Mus musculus: one gene and its partners. The protein of the gene in region 2 binds, or shares a complex with, the protein of the main gene of each other region. Links are inferred from orthologs where the notes say so. Each region holds a gene or a part of one and is shown on either strand. Other genes may lie near its edges.

Region 1 (2,969 bases), on a different chromosome or scaffold from region 2:
CTGTGATCTTTGAACATTTGTATGAGGGGCTTGAACTTGGTGTCAGAAATCCAGATATTAGTTCTTCCACTGCATGGTGGTGCAGGCCTGTAATCCGGGCTCTCGGGAGGCTAAGCAGGATTGGTAGTATATCCTCTAAGTGTAGGTTATATACCATGACCCCACCTCTAAATAAATAAATAAATAGATGAAAGGAAGAAAAAGAAAAGATTCCTGCCATGGTCTTGACCTGTTTCCACCTGCCCCTAGGGCTTTATGAGGACCAAATAGAAATAAAAGCCAGAGTCAGAATGCCAGATATACCTATGCTAGCTGAACCTGCTGCTTGGGAATACATCTTTACCGTTTGGTACTTCCCCTGTGAGGAAAGCAGGGCCAATGGTACCATCCTTTAACAGGTGAGAAACCACGGCTCACACAGGCCCTGTTTGCAGTAAGCCATCTTCAGAGCACAACTGTCCACATCTAGTCCTTGGCTCTCAAGTCTTAATTCTGTTTTTTCCTCATTCGGGCTGGTGCTAAAATACATAAAATACAACATTGGAGAAAGTCTATGTGTAACCATAGCAAGAAGCCTTCTGCACTGGGGCCTTATGGCCCTCCATTCCCGGCCACAGCCTCAGCCTACCTTTCTCCTAGGTTATGTAAAGTGCTCTGAATTTCCCCATCAGGGCAGTACTTCCCCGTGACATTCCAGAATTTTCATTTGAATCCTGTTCAAGCCAAGTCATTGCCATTTAGATCTGTAGCATAGAGCTTTAGAAAAGAAGGCAGGTGGTCTCAGGTAGGATGCTCACATGCTTCTCTCCTTGGTCTCTCCTAGGCTTGTGGAGTACACCCGTGCTGACGGCACGGTTGGTCGGAGGGTGAAGCCCTACATTATCGACCTTGGCTCAGGCAATGGAACATTCTTGAACAACAAGCGTATTGAGCCACAGAGATATTATGAACTGAAAGAAAAAGACGTACTTAAATTTGGGTTCAGTAGCAGAGAATATGTCTTGCTTCATGAGTCTTCAGACACCTCTGAACTTGACAGGAAGGAAGATGAAGATGATGAGGAGGAAGAAATGGTATCTGACAGCTAGCAGCTGAGAGGCAGCCTCTACTGTTAGAAACCGTCCCTACCGGAGGCTGTGGTGGTCACTCCAGCGCCTCTTCTTGCCTTAAGTCTTTTCTCTGTTGCTGCCCAGCCTATGTTGCAGTATGAGAACTGTCACTTCATGTTTTCTTGAAGTTGGCACAGCAGCTGCCTGCTTGTGGGCCCTTGTTTTCTGAACAGTCTCACCAATTACAGCATGTCGAGTCTGGTCAGAGCGTGTGGTGGGCACCTTCAGAACTGCTGCATAGCAAACTGCCCTTGGAAAGGGGATGGTGGCTTCTTCTCTTTGTACAGTTTCCTATTTATATAGCTGTTGAGCTTTGTGGACCAGGAGTTTTGTTTTGGGGACAAATCCTAGAGTAGAGAATCTTAGTCAGCTTTGGTTGTCACCAAAACAGCCTCCAGCCTATACCAAAGCTTTGACCTGATTCAGCTCTTGAGTCATAGAAGTTGATTTTGCACTTCGTTTTGGGGGTGACAGTTTACCACGTGACTTCTCTATTGGCTGTCTTCGATAAACAGACACTCTGTGCGATGTCTGTGTGACAAGACTGTAGGGAGGTCGTGGCTTCTACCAACAGGAGCTGCTGTCATACTGTGCACTGGTCTGTAGATCTGCACCCTGAGGATTCCTGATTTCTTCATGAAGCAGACATCATAGTTTGATCATCTGGTCTTTTTCTTTAGCTTTGAATTTTTATTCAAATGTCGCCTCTCTTCTCCCTTTGAGAAACACCACACTGACTTTGTAGGAGGGGCCTTGCTGTGGCCTAGGGATGTGTGTATGTGTCTAAACGAGGTTGTGTAGCTTCCACACTTCCAGTTCATCTTTGACCATGTGTTCATATTTTCCTCCCACGGGTGGAAAGTAAGAGACAGCCGAGTGTCTGAACTTCCCACCTGGGATCTGTGAGTAGAAAGATACTCCTTACTGACAGTCTGTGTGCTTCAGAGCTATGTGCTGGGTTTCATATGTCAGTGTTTTGCGATATAAATAATACCACATGATAGGCAAAGGCCTGTCTGCATTTGGAGAGCAGGTTTTCATTTATATGTATTTTTGAGATTAAAAAAATAAAATTTGTAAATATAGCCTCATTTTAGAGGGTATTACTTTTCTCACATAAATGACTTGTTCATAGGTGTGTTTGCTTCTAAAGGAATCTTTATAAACTGTTCTGAGGTAAAAGTACTGTGTGTGTAGAGAATTGTAGGGAGAGGCCTGAAGTACTGAGGACAGAAATCGCTTATCTCAGCAAGGAGGGCGTGGGGCATGAGCTGTCAGGGAAGGATTTGTGTCAGTGCTCTACATTTGGTGACCACTCTGTCCCCGGGTAGAGATGATAGCAATCCTCCTGGGCTGCTCTTAACTTCCTCCTGGGCTGGGATTTAGGATGCTGCGGAGTAGACTGTCTTGTTTGTACAGTCAGGGTCTCACTTGTTCTCAGGGCTAGAGGCTGGCTAACACAGGAGGGTCAGCTCAGGAACGTGTTAGGAAGAGACTTACACAGTCCCTACGGTGTGCAGGGTCAGCCCAGGAACGTGTTAGGAAGAAAAGCACAGTGTATCTTGGATATTTTTCTTAATTCAGACACCATTTTCTGCCCGAGAATCCACAATAACCTGCTACCCTACTTCAGTGCCTTCTTTCCCAGGGATAGTTTGTGGATTTGCTTTCTCGATGAGCACTGTGCAAGGTGACCACTTTACCTACATTTTTTTTGTAAAGAGGTTCCAGGAACCAGAAGTGGCGACTCATGCCTATAGCCATGAGCTTGGAGAGGCTGAATTCAGCAAGAGGATTGGTGTAGATGTTAGGGCGTGTGGAATGTGAGGCAGCCTGGTCTACCTAGGAAAACTTTAATCT
Region 2 (4,663 bases):
AAATATTGACATACATATTGAAAGAAACGTTACGCTAAGGAGGATTATTTTTTTTTCTCGTTTCAGTTGGGAAGACGACTTATCTACCGTTCGAAACCTCAATCTGCAGACAAACAAGAGCTCCTTTTAGTCAGTGATACAAGATCAAAATCACAGGACGAAGAGTACTTTTTTAGTTGAACGGGATCACGAGGATACTTTCTTAGCGAATGTTTTATGTGGATGTTGGCTTTCAGTGATGCAATACTGCCCTAGCAAATTCCAGGGCCGCAGCAGACCTTTAGCTGGAAGTTTACAGGACTAGGAACAGCAACTATTTTCTGCTGCAACTCTATTGTTCACTAGTACAGGCCATGAGCTAAGCAATACTTACTTTAGGTTGTCCCTGTTGGAGACATGTATCCAAAGTCAATTTATTGATGTAACAATAGAATGGCCTTCCTCAAAGCATGAGAATTTTAATATTTTCTAAAGCAATAAGGAAGTTTACAGCTTTGAATATACATTTTTAAAATGTATTATTCTTAAAACAACTGGACAGGTTTAAAGCTTAAAAACTAATAGACTACGGTCTCAGAACAATCATGGGGCTGGTTTTCTTTCACATTAAGCTCTGAAAACCTTATCAGAAAACTTTCAAGTGAACAAAATCATACATCTTCAGCCTAAATATCAATTTGTATTGTATTTTATCTCCATAATTATTTCAATTTTCATGTTTTGACTTAGCTATAATATACATTATTTAGTCTATGTCAATATAGAAATAATGATTTATTAATACAATATATATTAATACTAAGAAAATGTTTAACTTTATGGATGTTACAAGTGGTTTGGAAACCTTAAACAACACTGCTGCTTTTATGAGGTCTCAGTTAAACCAGCGGTGGGATTACAAAAAAAAAAAAAGAGTCCCTTGAATAAAACTGAGAGGCTTTTAAAACTTTAGTTCTAAGAATTATCCATCCATTGTTTCAACATTTGCGCTTTGCATTAAATAGTCCACAAGTCAAGTTGAAAAAAAAGAACCCCAAATCTTTATTGTATAGAAATACATATATATATAAAAAAAAAAATCCAAGATGCTATTCTCTCATTTCCCCATCTTCCTCTTCTTCTTCAACGCCTCTGATGTAGAGGACATTATTACACCTGTAACAGAAAACAGTCCATTGTGAGCTGCACTCAGAACCCACACAAGATCAATCCTCAGTGCCCCATCATCAGACTGGACACTGAACTCACAGCTTGCCACTTGTCCTGTTAGTCCTGTATAGGTGTAGTAAAGACACACCACACATTTTTACCATCATCACACTTCATCTCTACGACTTAGAATGTAGGTAGTTGCTGATACCAGACAGTGAGTACAACAGAAATCCTTAGCAGCCAGACTCAACTAAAATTCAAATTTAAATCCCTGTAACCCAGGACACTGATACAGGTTACAGCTGGAGCCAGGAGATGTAAATCAAGAGTAGGAAAATCTCAAATATAAACTGAAATCTTCCAACATGTTAGTGATTTCACAAGCTTCTGAGATCTAGTTGTAGAGTACTTCCTGTTTAATGTTTAATAGGACTAATATATTTCAGCAGGTATTTCTGAGGTTAGTTAGAACTCCTTTCATACACACAAATAAGTCTGTTACCTTATTAGAACTTCGCCCAGATGTCCAGACAGCGCCCCATCTATGTACTCTTCTGTATTTGCAAGCTTTAGACAAAAAGAAAGGTATTAGTATAGCTGCACGGGAGGGAAGAGTGCAGCATGCCTACTCGGTGAGGACCCAGTGACTGAGACTCCTCCACACCAACAACTCACACTGGATCCATAAACAGTAGCTCTAAGATTATCTTCCCATCACTCTTGTAGCTTTGGATTTCATATATTCATTAAGACATGCATGGGTATAGAACTCATGGATAATAAAGCTCGTTTCAAAGTTATTAAGCCTTCTAGATGTTATTTCTATCTGCTATTAAAGTGTCTCAAAGAAGAAAGCTTATTTGAGTAAGTTATAATTCTTAAAATTTTCTGAAAATTCAGCTCCAAAGAACCAGACATTAACTTTTCTTAGAGTAAAACATTATGAATCATATTAACTTGTTCAAATGGGTGTACAAAAGCTATGGCTAAAATATATTAGCCAACAACCAAACCAAAAAAAGTTAAGATTTTTAAAATCTCATGTACTCAATGGGGATGGGGGTGGAGGGGTGGGGGTGTGTAAATCAAGAATGATCTTTAGGGTTACTTTTGCAAATTCTATTCTAATTTTAAATGAAAAATCTTTAGCTATTTCAGCAGCTAAAATAAACTAATTATTTAGTTATATTATTTAGTTAGTTAGGGTGGGGGGGATTCGAGACAGGGTTTCTCTGTATAGCCCTCGCTGTCCTGGAACTCACTGCCTCCCGAGTGCTGGGATTAAAGGCGTGCGCCAACACACCCGGCTTTAGCTATCATTCTTACAATTAAAAAAAAAAAATATCCACCAGTGCTATATGGGGTCACCAAAGGCAGAACAAGAGAAGAGAAGGAAGCGTCTTTCATAAGCAGGCAGTGGACATAGGTAGATGTGGCTGGCATAAAGCATTTAAGACATGCAAGCTGTTTCTCTGTAGGAAAACAAAGCAACCAGAGAACATGTTGTCACTAGAACAAATGTTTGTGAGATGATTTTGTATATAACTCCTATCAGAAGGAATGTAATTGTGTGTGTATGTAGATATTTATGTTTTTGAGAAAGGGTTTCTCTGTGTAGCTCTGACTGTCCTAGAACTCACTCTGTAGACCAGGCTGGCCTTGTGCTCAGAGATTAACCGGCCTCTGCTCATAACTGCTGAGATTAATGGTACACATGGATTAATTATTTTTGACATTTCCCTAACACTTAAATGGCTTCTAAGTTGTATCTATACTAATGACCCAAAGTTTAGAGCTTACTAAATTCAAAAGCCTCACTACTGTTGAAAGGCTTTCAGTGACTGCCATCCCACCTTCTACTCTGGCCTTTTGTCTGTACCTCAAACACCCTAGTACCCCCCCCCCAATCCCCGTGGACAGAAGCTTTGCATCTGCTGCTCCTTCCAACAGATATGATTTTGTCCCAGATGCCAAAGGTCTCTTTGGAGGCGAGGCTGTTCAGTACTGCACACTCATAACCCTGGTTTTGCTTTACCGCCATGCTGTGGATCACTCCTACGCATCTGTGGTCCACAACCATCTCCCACCACTGGAACAAGCTCAAGGATATGGACTTTGTTTTGCTCACTGTTATATTCATGGTACCAAACAGACAACCAATACCTTTTGGCTAACTGAAGCAACTCAGAAACCGGGCTCGCTCAGAGATACATTTTATACCTCGGGACACTACATTAACTGCAAGATCAACTATTAGGTGGTTCATTTGTTTCAACAGGGTTTCATGTATTCCAGGTTGGCCTGCAACTTCCTGTGAAATGGGGATGATGTTTTAATTTCTAATCCTCCTGCTTCTATCCCAGGAATGACAGAATCACAGGCTTTTTTTCACAGAATCACACCAAGTGACAGGGATGAAACAAAACATTCTGGGGTTTTCAGTGTATTCATAACATTGAACTCTCATTTCTAATCCCACACTATATTCACCACTACAGGCATACTTTCCAGACTTTTCTACAGCTTTTGTAAATAACTCGTTTCAAGAATTTTCCAGACCAAATCTCTCCATATTCTTGTTAGCTGGATTTCTAGTTAATATATCCACCTAAGTAACCTTTAAAATCTGGGCAGAAACTACAATTAAACACACAAAAAAATTAAAAACAGACAAAGTGGCACATGCCTTTAATCCTACCACCCAGGAGGCAGAGGCAGGCAGATCTCTGAGTTAGGCCAGCCTGGACTACATAGCATGATACAGGCCAGCCAGGGCTACATAATGAGACCTTGTCTTAAAAAATACAAGTAAATAAATAAATAGAGGATGTGAGTACCTTGTCTTAAAAAATACAAGTAAATAAATAAATAGAGGATGTGAGTAACATATTTCTCCAAAGATGAAAGCACATGGTTAATACACACATGAAAAGGTGCCCAATGTCATTGGGGAAATGCAAGCCAAGAGGAGATACTATTTCAGATCAGGAGAATAATATTTATACATTAAAAAGAGGAACCTCGTAGAAAACAAGTGTTAGTGCAGATGTGGAAAACTGTAACTCTTGGGTACCATCTGAAGGAATCAAAACCACACAGCTGCTATGAAAAACAATATGACATCTACTCAAAAACAACGAACCAGTAATCCGACTTGTGTATATACTCCAAAGAGTTAAAAGTAGACTTGGAAAAATGCTTGTTTGAGGCTGGAGAGTTGGCCAGAGGTTAAGAGCACTGGCAGCTTTTCCAGAAGACCTGGGTTCAATTCCCAGCATCCGCATGGTGCCCACGGCATCCATAACTGCAGTTCTAGAGTGCTGACGGATGCCCTTGTCTGACTTTGATGGGCAGCAGGCATATACATAGTACACTGACAAGACATCCATAAAATAAAATTAAAAACTAGAAATCAAAATGAATGAACAGGTTGAGAATGTAGCTTAGTGGCAGACTGCTGGTCAGCATGTACAGAGGTCTGGGCTTGATCCCTACAAGAAACTGGACAGAT
Region 3 (4,443 bases), on a different chromosome or scaffold from region 2:
ACATTCCGCAGGCCAAACAAATTAGCATTATCATTTGGGAAGGAACCTAAATCTTTACAGATGAGAACAAGTAAGTCTTTTCAGTATGCTACTATTTTACCTAACGACTAATTTACCAGGTGTTTGTGGTCTTTCCCAAACTAAGATTCCCAAGAGCTTCCTATTAGTTTTTTACATTTATCTGACTTGTACTTTAAAGGTATCTCACTCTACCCTCCCTCCTAGTCCGCTCTTGAGCCACTCTTGCTATCTAGCCTGGACAGACCTTGTCCTTCACTCCACCCTCTTCAATCTCCTGCTGGGTTACAGGCACAGGACACCATACCTGCTTTCCACATTCTCATCTTAGTGATAAGATTCTCAATTCTTCAGTGTCTCAGTAATTGCTAAGCAAACAGAACTACAAGCATGTTTGCAACCTCCTGCACTTACAAGTGCTGGTGTCGCAGTACTCAGAAGTCAGCGGTGGGTTTTTGTTCTGTAACACTGGGGATCTAACAGGGCCTCACGTGTGACAGACAAGCACTTAGAACTGATGAGTACATCACTAGTAAAAAACAAAACTTGTTTATTTTCAATTACCCCCTCCCCCCCAGCCTTTTCCACCAACCTTAGCAGCTTACCTGTGCAGGCAGAATTCTTAATCTGCCTCAAGAACGTACAGATCCATGCTCCGAGAAAAGCAAATGTCAAGGGGGACTGGAAGCCCTCAGAAACCTTAAATACCGACCCTAGGTAAAAGCATTTTGCCACCAGAATGAAACAATGTAAAATTTTAACAAAAACTTCCTACAGCATTTATTGTCACCTAATAATAATGTGCAAGTAAAACAAGTTGAGTAAATGCAGGTTGCAGCAGACATCTTTAAACACGCTCAAGGGGTCTTCTCAACATCCTACAGACTTCACCATTCACTGCTAGTTGGAAACACTTTGGAGCAGAGTAATATTATCTCCTTTTAGCATGATCCGACCTGTAACAACAAAAAAAGTGTTACAAAAGCTGTGACTAATCAGAGAGAGACATTTACTTATCTTTCAGCCTCAGAGTTTGGCTCTGAATAGTACTGAGGCACTTCTCTCTCTCATAACGCTATGTGAACATTTTCAATCGTCCATATTGAAGGCTTCCACCAGGTCTACTGGGCTTTCAGTAACAGAACGAAACAGCGCTGTTTTAATGAAACATAGTTCCTATAGTCTAGGTCAAGTGAAAAGGCCCAATACAGCATCTCCCAATACTAAGTTCATGAGGGTTTAGAAATGAGTGTTTGTCAAGTATACATTTCAATTCCATCTGCAGTAGCCTGAGTTCTTGCTGCGTGAGACAGTGCACACCTGCAGTCCCAGTACTGGAAGGCTAAGGTAAGATCGGACAGCCTGGGTTATAGAGGTAGAGCACCTCAAAAGCAAATAAAAACAGAGTCATTTCTTAGAATCTACCTTCCACCTATCTAGCTTTGGTCAGTAGGGTTTGGGAAAGAGATACCTGAACTCCATCACTAATAAACGCACGTGAGCACTGACTATTCTAACAAAAGATAACCTAACCTCAGTAAAGTATCTCTTAATGAGACCATGGGTCCTCTTGTTCCCTGGGCTTTCTGAGTTTATGTGAAGCACTACGGTGGTCATTGGAAGCAGAGAGGACATGACTCATGCACTCAGGGAGCATGCAGTCTAACAAAGAGGCAACGATAAAATAAATGATTCACTACAGAGTCAACATATCACATCTTGTGTTCTCCCATCCCAGAAAAACTAAATTAAATTTGGGTTTCCTAGAGAAAGTTTGATCAGTGAACAATACACGTAGCAATATTTGATGGAGTCAAGTGTAATAACCATGGCGTGATAATTGTGTTAACACTGCCATTTAGAAAATGAAGCAAGGATCTCAGAGTTAAGGCCAGCCTGGGCTAAACAGGAAGATCCTACCTCAAACAGAAAGTGAGGCCAATGTGCAGGCTTAAGGAATTGAAAGAAGAGCTGGGCAATGGGGGCACACAGCTTTAATCCCAGCACTCCAGGAAGCAGTGAGCTCTGTGAGTTTGAGGCCAGCCTGGTCTACAGAGAGTTCCAGGACAGCCAAGACTACAGAGAAACCCCCAAACCAACCAACCAGCCCCCCTCCCCCCAAAAAACAAAAATCCAGCCCAAAACCCTCCAAAACAAAAAACAAACTGAAAGGAGACAAGCATGGAGACTGCTCAGAAAATGGGACAGTGTGAATCAAGATGAGCGAACATCAGGCCAGATAAGAAGGCTCTTGCCAAAACATCACACTGTCCCCTCAGGAAAAACAGACAATGGAAAATTTCAAGCAAAAGCTGGTAAGGTCAGACCCAGTGTTTCAAAAAGATGGCTACATCTGGAGAGCAACTTCAAATGGATGAGGGAGCTACAAAAGTTAGTAAGTTAGTGGAAACTACTGTTCCGTTAGGAAGTGATCAGCAAACCCACGCTGAACAGTGTAAGCAGGCAGTGAAGTTGGCTTCTGACAGGCTGCCTTAAAAACCTTCTATGTGGAAAGTTAAACAGGTTCAGAAGAGGTTTGGGCTATACACATAAATAAGGAAGTCAATGCCCAGATTAGTACCTGGAGCTGTGATCTCACTGAACACTAGAAGCCTAGAACAGAGCCTCTCAACCTTCCTAGCGCTGCAGCCCCTTAATAACAGTTCCTCAAGTTGTGCGGACCCTCAACAATAAAATTGTTTTTATTGCTAATTTATAACTGTAATTCTGCTACTATTATGAATCATATTGTAAATGTCTGTGTTTTCTGATGGTCTTAGGAGACCACTGTGAAATATCGTTCAACTCTCAAAAGGGTCATAACCTACAGAATGAGAACTGCTGGCCTAGGGAAAGACTGTGAAGGGCGAGCTGGAACCCAGCCTCAAATACTTAATGGCCGGGTAAAAAAGGATGAATATAAAGAAGTCTGGAAAAAAAAAAAAAAACAGCCAGAGTTGAATAAAAACTGACATACTATGTCACAAACCCAAGATATCAAAGTATTGCAAGGAAGTATTGAACTGTGTCAAATTCTACTTAATGTTAAATATAAGTGAACACAAAAAACGACATCAGATTTAACATCCTTGGCAAGGCATGGTTGCGAATGTCTATGATCCCAGCACTTGGGAGGGGGAGGCAGGAAGGCCAGGAGTTCAATCTGTCACTCTCAGCAAGACTGAGAGTAGCCTGGGCTACCTGAGACCCTATCAATGAACAAAACAAAGGAGTGGGTAACAGAGTAAGTGGCAGGAAGATGAATTCAGAAGTGTGCTTCTCCCTTCAAATGTAACTTTATAGCATGAATTTTCAGCTATAGGCCATTCAAGTCTGCCAGTGAAATAAACAGAAATCTGTAAAGCCAACTATCTCCTTACCCAGTTGTTTTCTTGACTTTGTTTTAGAATGAATCTCTTCTGCATCATCTAATACGAGGTTCATGTACTCATCAAAGCCCTGGGAAGGCAAATGACAATCATTTTTAAGCAAATCACATCCGACCATTCTAAAAGAATAATTAGATTCAGAAATATCAACAAATTTTAGAATTTTATGCTATCACTGATTTTTCAACACAAACACCTACAGCCTCTACTTACTTATTAACTACTTTGTATTCTTTTAAAGTGTTACCTGTATGTATTTATTTTTGGATCGATGCGTGCACATTAGGACAGGTGCTTAAGGAGGGCAGAGGCACTAGATCCACCTGCCAGAAGTACAGGCAGTTGTGATCCATCAAAGGTATATACTTTGAACTGAACTTGGTCCTCTGCAAGAATAGTAAATACTTTTACCTGTTGAGCCCCTTACTTCTGAGACAGCGTCTTATGTGGCCTATGTTTGCCCTAAACTTCCCACACAGCCAAGGAAAGCCTTAAACTCACAAATCTCCTATCCTCTCTATTCCAAGTGTTGAGACTACAGGTATGTGCCACCATGCCTGGTCATATGTGACATGCCCAATGCGTGGGGGCATTTTCATTCCTTTTTGGGGGCAGAGATGGTGTTGAGGATTAGCGCACCGACTTCTACCCATTAGGCAAGAGGTTTACTACTGAGCTGCATCCCCAGCCTACCTCTTTTTAAATAGCAAAGAAAGCTAGAATGAGATCCAAAGTACTTCAATCCCTTAGAGGTAAATATTCGCCAGGAATGCCTGCTGGACACTACCCAATTCGGCATGTGCACACATGAATTGCCTTCTGTCACTGCACACCCATGTTCCTCACTAACACGACTCCCACTAACTACTGTGCTTGTTTACCAACTCCTAAGAGAGTATTGATAGACACTCTTGATATCTACATAAAATAACAAAATACTGTGCAGCTTTGGGAGGAAGGGTAGGTACTAGGGAGACATGTCAATTGGTAAAGTACATGCAGTCATGAGTTTGGATCCCTACTCAAACAATGCAGT

Evidence for each region.
Region 1: Snrpf (region 2) and Snip1 share a complex: the UniProt entries of both Homo sapiens proteins name them as parts of the minor spliceosome. The link is inferred for Mus musculus from reciprocal best matches to the Homo sapiens genes SNRPF and SNIP1.
Region 3: Snrpf (region 2) and Snrpe share a complex: the UniProt entries of both Homo sapiens proteins name them as parts of the U7 snRNP complex. The link is inferred for Mus musculus from reciprocal best matches to the Homo sapiens genes SNRPF and SNRPE.

Annotation. Positions count from the first base shown.
Region 1 is NC_000070.6:125,071,843-125,074,811, forward strand, and holds the end of Snip1 (smad nuclear-interacting protein 1), read left to right. Parts: intron 1-823; coding exon 824-1,088; 3' UTR 1,089-2,201; downstream 2,202-2,969. UniProt on the Homo sapiens protein: Required for pre-mRNA splicing as component of the spliceosome. As a component of the minor spliceosome, involved in the splicing of U12-type introns in pre-mRNAs. Down-regulates NF-kappa-B signaling by competing with RELA for CREBBP/EP300 binding.
Region 2 is NC_000076.6:93,582,376-93,587,038, forward strand, and holds the end of Snrpf (small nuclear ribonucleoprotein F), read right to left. Parts: intron 1,953-4,663; exon of another isoform or gene 1,720-1,952; coding exon 1,655-1,719; exon of another isoform or gene 1,156-1,654; coding exon 1,089-1,155; 3' UTR 654-1,088; downstream 1-653. Other genes in the region: Ccdc38 (coiled-coil domain-containing protein 38), read left to right, coding at 67-180. UniProt on the Homo sapiens protein: Plays a role in pre-mRNA splicing as a core component of the spliceosomal U1, U2, U4 and U5 small nuclear ribonucleoproteins (snRNPs), the building blocks of the spliceosome.
Region 3 is NC_000067.6:133,603,103-133,607,545, forward strand, and holds the end of Snrpe (small nuclear ribonucleoprotein E), read right to left. Parts: intron 3,478-4,443; coding exon 3,399-3,477; intron 975-3,398; coding exon 919-974; 3' UTR 769-918; downstream 1-768. UniProt on the Homo sapiens protein: Plays a role in pre-mRNA splicing as a core component of the spliceosomal U1, U2, U4 and U5 small nuclear ribonucleoproteins (snRNPs), the building blocks of the spliceosome.